Linked DNA regions of Drosophila melanogaster. Changing the gene in region 1 together with any one later gene gives a genetic interaction. Each region holds a gene or a part of one and is shown in the gene's direction. Other genes may lie near its edges. The genes, in order: CCKLR-17D1 and Dsk.

What was found.
Region 2: of CCKLR-17D1 (region 1) and Dsk, changing one suppresses a phenotype caused by changing the other (phenotypic suppression), as found in Drosophila melanogaster (one study listed by BioGRID).

What each region holds. Positions count from the first base shown.
Region 1 is NC_004354.4:18,723,400-18,728,261, reverse strand, and holds the start of CCKLR-17D1 (Cholecystokinin-like receptor at 17D1), read left to right. Parts: upstream 1-1,689; coding exon 1,690-1,706; intron 1,707-1,776; coding exon 1,777-2,525; intron 2,526-2,589; exon of another isoform or gene 2,590-2,664; coding exon of another isoform or gene 2,665-3,030; exon of another isoform or gene 3,031-3,348; intron 3,349-4,862. Other genes in the region: CG42302 (uncharacterized protein), read left to right, coding at 2,665-3,030.
Region 2 is NT_033777.3:4,188,886-4,192,203, reverse strand, and holds Dsk (drosulfakinin), read left to right. Parts: upstream 1-1,943; 5' UTR 1,944-1,970; coding exon 1,971-2,396; 3' UTR 2,397-2,512; downstream 2,513-3,318.

The sequences.
Region 1 (4,862 bases):
GGCGTAGTGTCCTTCAAGTGGGTGGGTGGTTGGTGAAATGTCTTTGGTAATAAATGGCTTTGGATCGCGGGAACTAGCAGCTGAAATGGACGATTAATTCATTATTCAGGGGCATTCCCCGACATGCTCATTATGCATTCGCAGTGTATCTGTTGCTTCTGTTGCTCTGTTCTTATGGCAATCACTGGGATTACCCATACTATATCTGTATCTGTATCTGTATCTGTGTTCGTATCTGGCCATTAGCGATGGCAACTGTAATTTTCGGCTGCCTGATTGCATTAACGGCCGGCAATCACTACTCCATAAAGTTTTAAAACAACAACTGAGCCGTTGCGAATGCAAATACAATAATTAAAATTAATTAAAGCCCAAAGTAAATAAATAAAATGAAGGCTGGATTGCTAAAGTGCCAACGGACCGACCGACCGCCAGACAAAAAAACAACCGAAACACCCAAAAAACCCAAACTCGCCACTTCGATCCGCCCAACGCTTCTGGCCACTTTAATTAATGTTGCAGCATTATTTATGCGCCCGACAAAGTTTGTCTTTCGCGAGAAGTTCGCCGAAAGAGTCAAATTGAATTAATCAATTTAGGCAAACGTTAACCCACATTTTTTGGTGGAACACTCTACAGCGCGGATGCGAAACTTGCAGATAAAGTGAATCCGTTGGAAAGTTTTCGGTCGCTTGAGCGGCCAAAGAATCCGTCTGCAGTTAATTTGGTCCACCAAAGTCGATTACTCGCCTGAACTGGAGCCCAAATAAAGTTTGCAACTTGCAACACAACCTGTTGAGGCCACCAAAGGCGTGGAAGTGGCAAATAAACCACTCGGGTTTCACTTTATGGCTCCTCCAGTGGCGCGAAGTGATTTATAAACTCGGGTCGCAAGGCAAACAAACGGCGACAAAGTCTTTAAATAATGAGCCAAAGGTGTAAGCTGGAAGATGGAAGATGGCAGCTGGAGGCCCACGGAATCACCGGAGGTCCGCTAATTAAGTTGACAAATGTGACCTTTCGTTGGCTTTTCCGCTCTGGCAGGAGCCACTGATTCCGCAGTTCCTCGGGGAGACATGCAAATTACTCACCCAGCCACTCCAGCCACTCCAGCCACTCCAGCCACTTCAACCGATTGCCAAACATCGTGCGGGCTCAATCATCTCGTTTGCCCCCGAATGTATGCTATGCTATCCGGTGAAAGCGATTTGTCCTTCTCTCAGGCACTTTCGTAGGTTTCTAAATGGGTTTGGCTATACGGGAAAGAACTATAAATAGGGATGTAATGTAATAGGATATAATGAAGTACACCTATTGCTAATCTTCAGTTCAGATTATATTGTATGAACCGTCTTCTTCTGATTCTACTTGTATAGCAGAGAATGCAGGGATTCTACAAAGTAGCCATCTTGCCAATCAATTGAATTGAGTCGTCAAAATATATATTCCGAATTAATGTCCTTCTAACAACGCTCTTTCGATGCCAATTTGTTACCATCACTGAATCGTCGTGGATGACAACAAATCGTCGTAATTGGGTGATTTAGCGACTTTTTTCATATGGTTTTCTCTTAGCCGATTTGTGGGATGTAATAAATGAAGTTCCTTAAACGTGATCAAAAATATAACTAGAGCTACTACTAAGCAGCGAGCACAGCGTGCGATATATCAACAAGTCCAGCTGGCAACATGTTGCCGCGCCTGTGGTGAGTTGTGCCTCTATGTCCTTTGGCAGCATGTTGCGGTCGCTTGGCGCCGGCTGGTGGTCACAAAAAGCGCCGACGCTTGCCGTCAGTGCTTCGCGAAGATTGCGAGGCGCGACACACATCGCGGAACCCGAACTCCATACGGCTGTGCCGACACTCAATCCCGACCTAAGCCCAATTTTTTGTTGCGTGAAGTTGACGAAGTGTGTTGTACTGCTGCAAGTGCAAGTCCCCGATTGCTAGTGCTATTCCGGGATCACAAACGAGCATCCTTCTTCGGCCTCACGATTGACGCCTTCTACCACTACCTGCGCCAGGCGCTGCCGCTGGCCAAGGAGGCTGCGATCCACCTGAATGCCAGCAACGAGATCTCCGCTGTCGGTGACGGGGTCACCATCACAGGGACACCCGGTGATCTTCTCAACTACAGCGGGCTGGAATTGGATCTCGGACTGGATTTGGATCTTAATCTGGACATGGACCTAGCCACTACTCCCAGCAGCAGCACCTTGGCGCCAGCTGTAACCGTCAGGACACCGGGGAACAGGAGCGTGGTGAGGGTCAGTGCCGATGTGCCCATCTGGGTGGTGCCGTGCTATTCGGCCATCCTTCTGTGCGCCGTGGTCGGGAACCTGCTGGTGGTGCTAACGCTCGTCCAGAATCGTCGCATGCGCACCATCACGAACGTTTTTCTGCTCAACCTGGCCATCTCGGACATCCTGCTCGGCGTATTCTGCATGCCGGTGACCCTGGTCGGCACTCTGCTAAGGCATTTCATATTCGGCGAGCTGCTCTGCAAGCTCATCCAGTTTGCTCAGGGTGAGTGGTGGAAGCCAGTAGGCCAGTTCATTTATGTCTTGTCCGTGTCCAAATTAAAAGGTTATCCCAAACTTCCAACTGTGAATTCCGCATTTATTAGTCCCTATCCCCGTGACCGAGCCCCATAATCGCTTGTCAAATGGCCACGAACCAGCACGACCTCGAGCGGATTCGCCAGCAGATCGTGTTGGCCAACATTCAGGAGCTGATAAAGAAGATGACACGTCGCTGCTTCGACGTATGTATCGCTATGCCGGAAATGGAGTTGCGCTCCACGGAGCGCGACTGCCTGGCCAACTGTATGGATCGATTCATGGACTCGGTTCAGGTGGTGTCGAGCCAGTACTTCCGTCGCCGGCGTCGCCATCAGCAAATTCGTTTGTCCCGTTCGACCGCCTCCTCCGCATCACCACCAGCATCCGCATCCGCATCCATGCCCAAATCCGCAGCAGCAAATGAATCTGAATCCGCATCTAGGGCCTCCAATGACGAAAAGGTCAAATAATGGTTAAGTCTAGACAGATAGCCACGTGTGGAGTTTATTCCAAGTCGAAAACGAAGGCTGTTCCGTCGTAGCCCCAGATCCCCAGTGTACTTGGGTGATGGCCACTTGTCCACATTGGTCATCATCCCAAAGCTTTCGAGGATGATTTCATACTTCGAGACCTTTGGGAAGGGCAAGAAGGGGTCGTCTAGCTGGAAATGAAAGTGGATTTTCTGCAGGCGTGGCCATCGATGATTTCTTGCTATTGGTTCTTAACAAAATCCTAGTAGAGTCTTAAGTAAATGACGATTGGCAGAAAATAAAGATGTCGTTCAGTGTACATTCACTATGCTTTGAGATTCTCTTTAAAGTCACCCTTTTGAAATCACTTAGCTAAGCTTAATATTGTATAATATACAAAGTAGTGTAGTGGGGAGAAGATAAGTTTTAAATGACCATACTGTATATTTTAGATTGTGCGCTTGTGCACATCACTTTTCCACTTAGGAAAACTGAGTCTGCCATCGATTTTACGCACAATTTCCGCGCTTATTTATGGCCTAAATCATATTTCGTTGGCAAGAACGCACTATATCTCGTCTCCCAATCTGCATCCGCCTGAGAATGGCCGTATTTTATGATGGCCGCCCGCATTTGCGTAACGACAGTCAGGGTTTCCCCGACCAGCGAGCACCGGGTTTTGGGTTCCTCAAGGGTTCAAAAGATTAAATAGGCCCACGCACACGACACACACACGCACACACACGCACTCGCACACTGTAAATATGCGGGGGAAGCTCTTTAAAACCATTTCAACTCAATGACTGTGCCCAAAACTCATGTTTGGTCCTTGAAAAGTCCAGTCAGATGGGTAAACATTCTCACCAGGCATTAATTTGTGTCTCCAGCTCAGATAAGGGTTGGTGATGTGGGTGGCGATATTCATCAGCTGAGCCCGGTTCAGCCATCTGTGATATGGTTCGCCTTCGGCGTGATTCCATGTCCCGTCGGCGGCAGTGGAACAGAATGAAGCAGAAATGTGGCCCTGACACCTGTCACAAATGCTAATCGGCATTTCGGTTTCAAGGAGCCGAGCGGCATTAATTTGCTTATTTAATCAAAGTGCATGCCATCGGACATTCTAATTATTTTCATAACGGTAAGGAGAGGTCCTCAACCTGTTTCACCTCCTAGGACTCCTTGGAGGCGCATCCAAACGGATGATGAAGCTCAGTCCAGGCCAGTCATCCTCCATTCCCGCAAGATTAATCCAGGCTGATCCCCATTTCCAATGCAAATTGCTCGCCTGCCGGGAGCTCTGCTTCTGCTCAGCATTCTGGTCAATTTCCATATGTACGCAGTGTCGATCTGGGAGCCTACTCACCCTTCTCACCCAGCTCCTGTTACCCTGTTCCTTGCTCCTTTGGCGTTGTAGCACTCAAGTCGCAGCCTAAGCAGTCTGGAATTGCTTTTAACCGTGGCAATATTGCGAAAATCACTCTGCTATGCAGCGTCACGTCGCGATTTTCTTGTAGTGTTCCGTTCCGAAGCCCCTTTCCCCCATCAGCTCCATCAGCTCCGCTAGCTGCTCCACATCCTTTACGTCCCCTCGCCGATCCTTCTGACACCCTTCCTTGCATTTTCATGACTTGTTTCCTGTTTCCTGCGTTTCCGTTTCAGACGTGCTGGTGATGTTGTTTGTCTTGCTGCAAGTTTGTTTTCGGTACTGCCGGAACCGCTGTTCTCTCCTGGCCTCCAACACCACCCCCCCCCCCTATCCACTGCCCCCGGCATCCTGACGTATCCTGGCGTACCCTGGCATATCCATCTTGGCCGCCCCCGCACTAACTTAT
Region 2 (3,318 bases), on another chromosome or scaffold:
ACTTATCTAGAAGTCGCGAAGAAACGATTTTGGAAATTCAAACCTTATATTTCAATAGATTATATCCACAGCTTGGTACAGTCTGTACCAAAACGTCTGCAAAAGGTGACGCTAAGGGAGGGTATATTTTTTTATTAATTTGTCATAATTTTTTTTCAATTTATAAAATTTAAATAATTTGCCCAAATACTTATGCCATTGCTAATTTGTAAGAAAGTGATTTTTGTTAAATCAACAATGAAGTTATCCATATGTTTATGTTACCTCTACATTTAACTACGATAGCCTACCTATTTACTAAAATTATTAAACAATTTTGCTTTAAGTAAACAATAAGTTACAAACAAATATATTGAAAATATTTCTTGTCCAAATACTTATGCCCACTAGTGTATATATATGTATGTACTTCCGTAGAGTGCCGCGACTATTAGATACCGCTTACTCAAATAACTGAAGTGCGACAGATGTGCAATCAGTAGAGACGACTCTTTTCTATTAACTTTTTTAACTTCTATTAACTCTTTTTTCATAGGTTTCTACTAAATCAGATTCTAACAGTTCTTGGAACGTAGATAAGCATTGATAAGCTTAACTTAATATCATTAACGAATACGTTCAGAATGTAGGCAACGGGTATCATAAGCAGAATCTTCAGATAAATTACCCGGCACTTATAGGAGGTCTTATTTCTCAATGTCCATTTTGTAAGCTCTTCGACAAGAATGGTTTTCGCAAAGTTATTGGGGATAAACAATATAAGCACAAATAAGGTATGTATTCCGACCATAAAAACGCGTTGTTTGTCTTATTGAAATCTAATGGTCGGTCTCACCGTCACACTGTTTTGTTTTTTGAACGAACGATACCGCTCCCAAGTGAGAACTGCCGGTTGAAGACTTTGTCGACCTCGAAGTAACAAGTCGACAAAATGTGGTAAAAGCTATCGATTAATGGGTTCATCGAATAAGTAATGAGAAAAGAAAATAACTATAATCGATAGGCTTTTACTTAAATTTCATGACGAAAGTTTCGGAGCAATCGGACGGACAGGGTCAGATCGACTCGGCTATTGATCCTGATCAAAAAATATATACTTCAAATGGTCGGAAAAGGCCTTCGGCATTTTACATACTTTATAGGGTATACTAGCCTTTCAAATGTGTAGCCATTGCAGTTTTGGTCAGCATGCGGGTGTGTAGGGGTCACAAGAGTCTACATGTCCAATGGTAATGCCCATGTAATATACATGATTTTCAAATTCACATTACAAACAAGAAATGCTTGTTTGGGCTTTGCTGATGGGTATCGTGTTAATATCAGTTGGAATCATAGGCATATCCGTTAAAAAACCTCCCTTTTGAATTTCGCATTTGGATTTGGTTCAGATCAGCACTGTCAACCTCATGCCCATATACAATGGTTCACAGCTCAGTTTAACCAAAGACAATAGTATATTCTATTCGCAACAGCTTTTAAAATTTAAAAAGAAATATCTTCTGAACATATCTGTAAGTCTCACACTAGCTCACACTTCTTTGCTGGCAAATTTATAAAAATTTGAATCAGAATGTATTTCCGAATATTAAATTTAACCATGGATATGCGCTTTTTATTTAAAATTGTTTGTCTGGCACAGCTACTAGCCCCCTGATATTATGCTGAAGAATGTTTCAGAAAACCACTAGAGTATACTCGCCCAGCGCCCTAATACAGACGGTTACTCATCATACTTAATTCTTTTAGGCATGCCGTCGAATTCAATTATTGTCAGGACAGCATCAAAGTTAGTTTAATCAATCAAGTCAATCACAAGTCAAAGTCAATTTCTGTTATCTCAACACCTCTAAACACTTGACAGCCGCGGTAACGGAATATTAAACAGGCGAGAAAGATGGCCACAAACGCAATCGTATAAAAAGGAAGCGCCAACTTAGATGTTCACCAGTCTGCCAAGGGCACAGTAAAGCATGGGACCTAGAAGCTGTACGCACTTCGCCACGCTGTTTATGCCACTCTGGGCATTAGCCTTCTGCTTCCTGGTGGTGCTGCCGATCCCAGCGCAGACGACTAGTCTACAGAACGCTAAGGATGATCGGCGACTACAGGAATTGGAGTCAAAAATTGGTGGGGAAATCGATCAGCCCATTGCGAATTTAGTTGGACCATCATTCTCTCTATTCGGGGACAGGCGTAATCAGAAAACAATGAGCTTCGGTCGCAGAGTGCCACTAATTTCACGCCCAATAATACCAATTGAGCTGGATCTCCTCATGGATAATGATGACGAAAGAACGAAAGCTAAGCGGTTTGATGATTACGGCCATATGAGGTTTGGTAAAAGGGGAGGTGATGATCAGTTCGATGACTACGGTCACATGCGTTTCGGCCGATAAACACTTGCCATCAGTTTAGTCATTTAGAAAACCGATTATGTATATTGTACATAGAAATTAATCGAGCACACATTTTATATTAACAAGTATATAAAAAGTAATAAATGTTCGCATTCAAAAATTTAATATTTCGTATTATAGCCGAATTCTTAGAGTAAGCTATGATGGATTCATTGAAAAAAGGATTTTTAGTCCCTTGCATATAGGTGTATTGATTCCTAGCAGAATTTATCACCGCGGTAAAAAGCCTCCATTTATCCGGTATATAAAAAAAGGGCTGCACCTTCAATATATAAAAAGTTTTATTTAATTATTTGTGACGAAAGCATTTGAAAGGTTCTCCGACTTTCGAATTGTGAATACCTTTTAAAGACGCATCGGATTTACTTAACAAGAATTATTGTCGTTGATGTATGTTTCCCTTAGGCCCATTTATATACAGCTGTGTTCAGAAAAATAGCAGTGCTTTGGACTTGAGAGTTTAAGATAAAAATTTCCTATGATTTACAGTTTTAATGGGAAATTTTTTTTTATAATATCATTAGGTATTTAATTTCAAACAATTTAACAAATGTTTCACTTTTATTTCTTCAATAGTTTCGAAAATATAGAATAAAACAACATAATAGGCAGAAATTCTGGTGTTCAATGAAATAGCAGTGCTATGAAAAAATAGTAACAAAATTAAACTTGACTTAGAAACGAACTTAGTTTTTCTTTTTAATATGTTAATTCGGGCCTAATACTTGGCTGGAAAGCCTTTGTTAGCCAGCACAGCCTTACACCCACGCGACATGGAGTCCACCAGGTCCTGGCAACGTTTGGGAGGAATTTTTGCCCATGCATCCTGGACAACTTGCCAAATCTGAGCCTTAGACGTCGGGGACTTCTTCGACACATATTGTTTAATGTCCCCCTACAG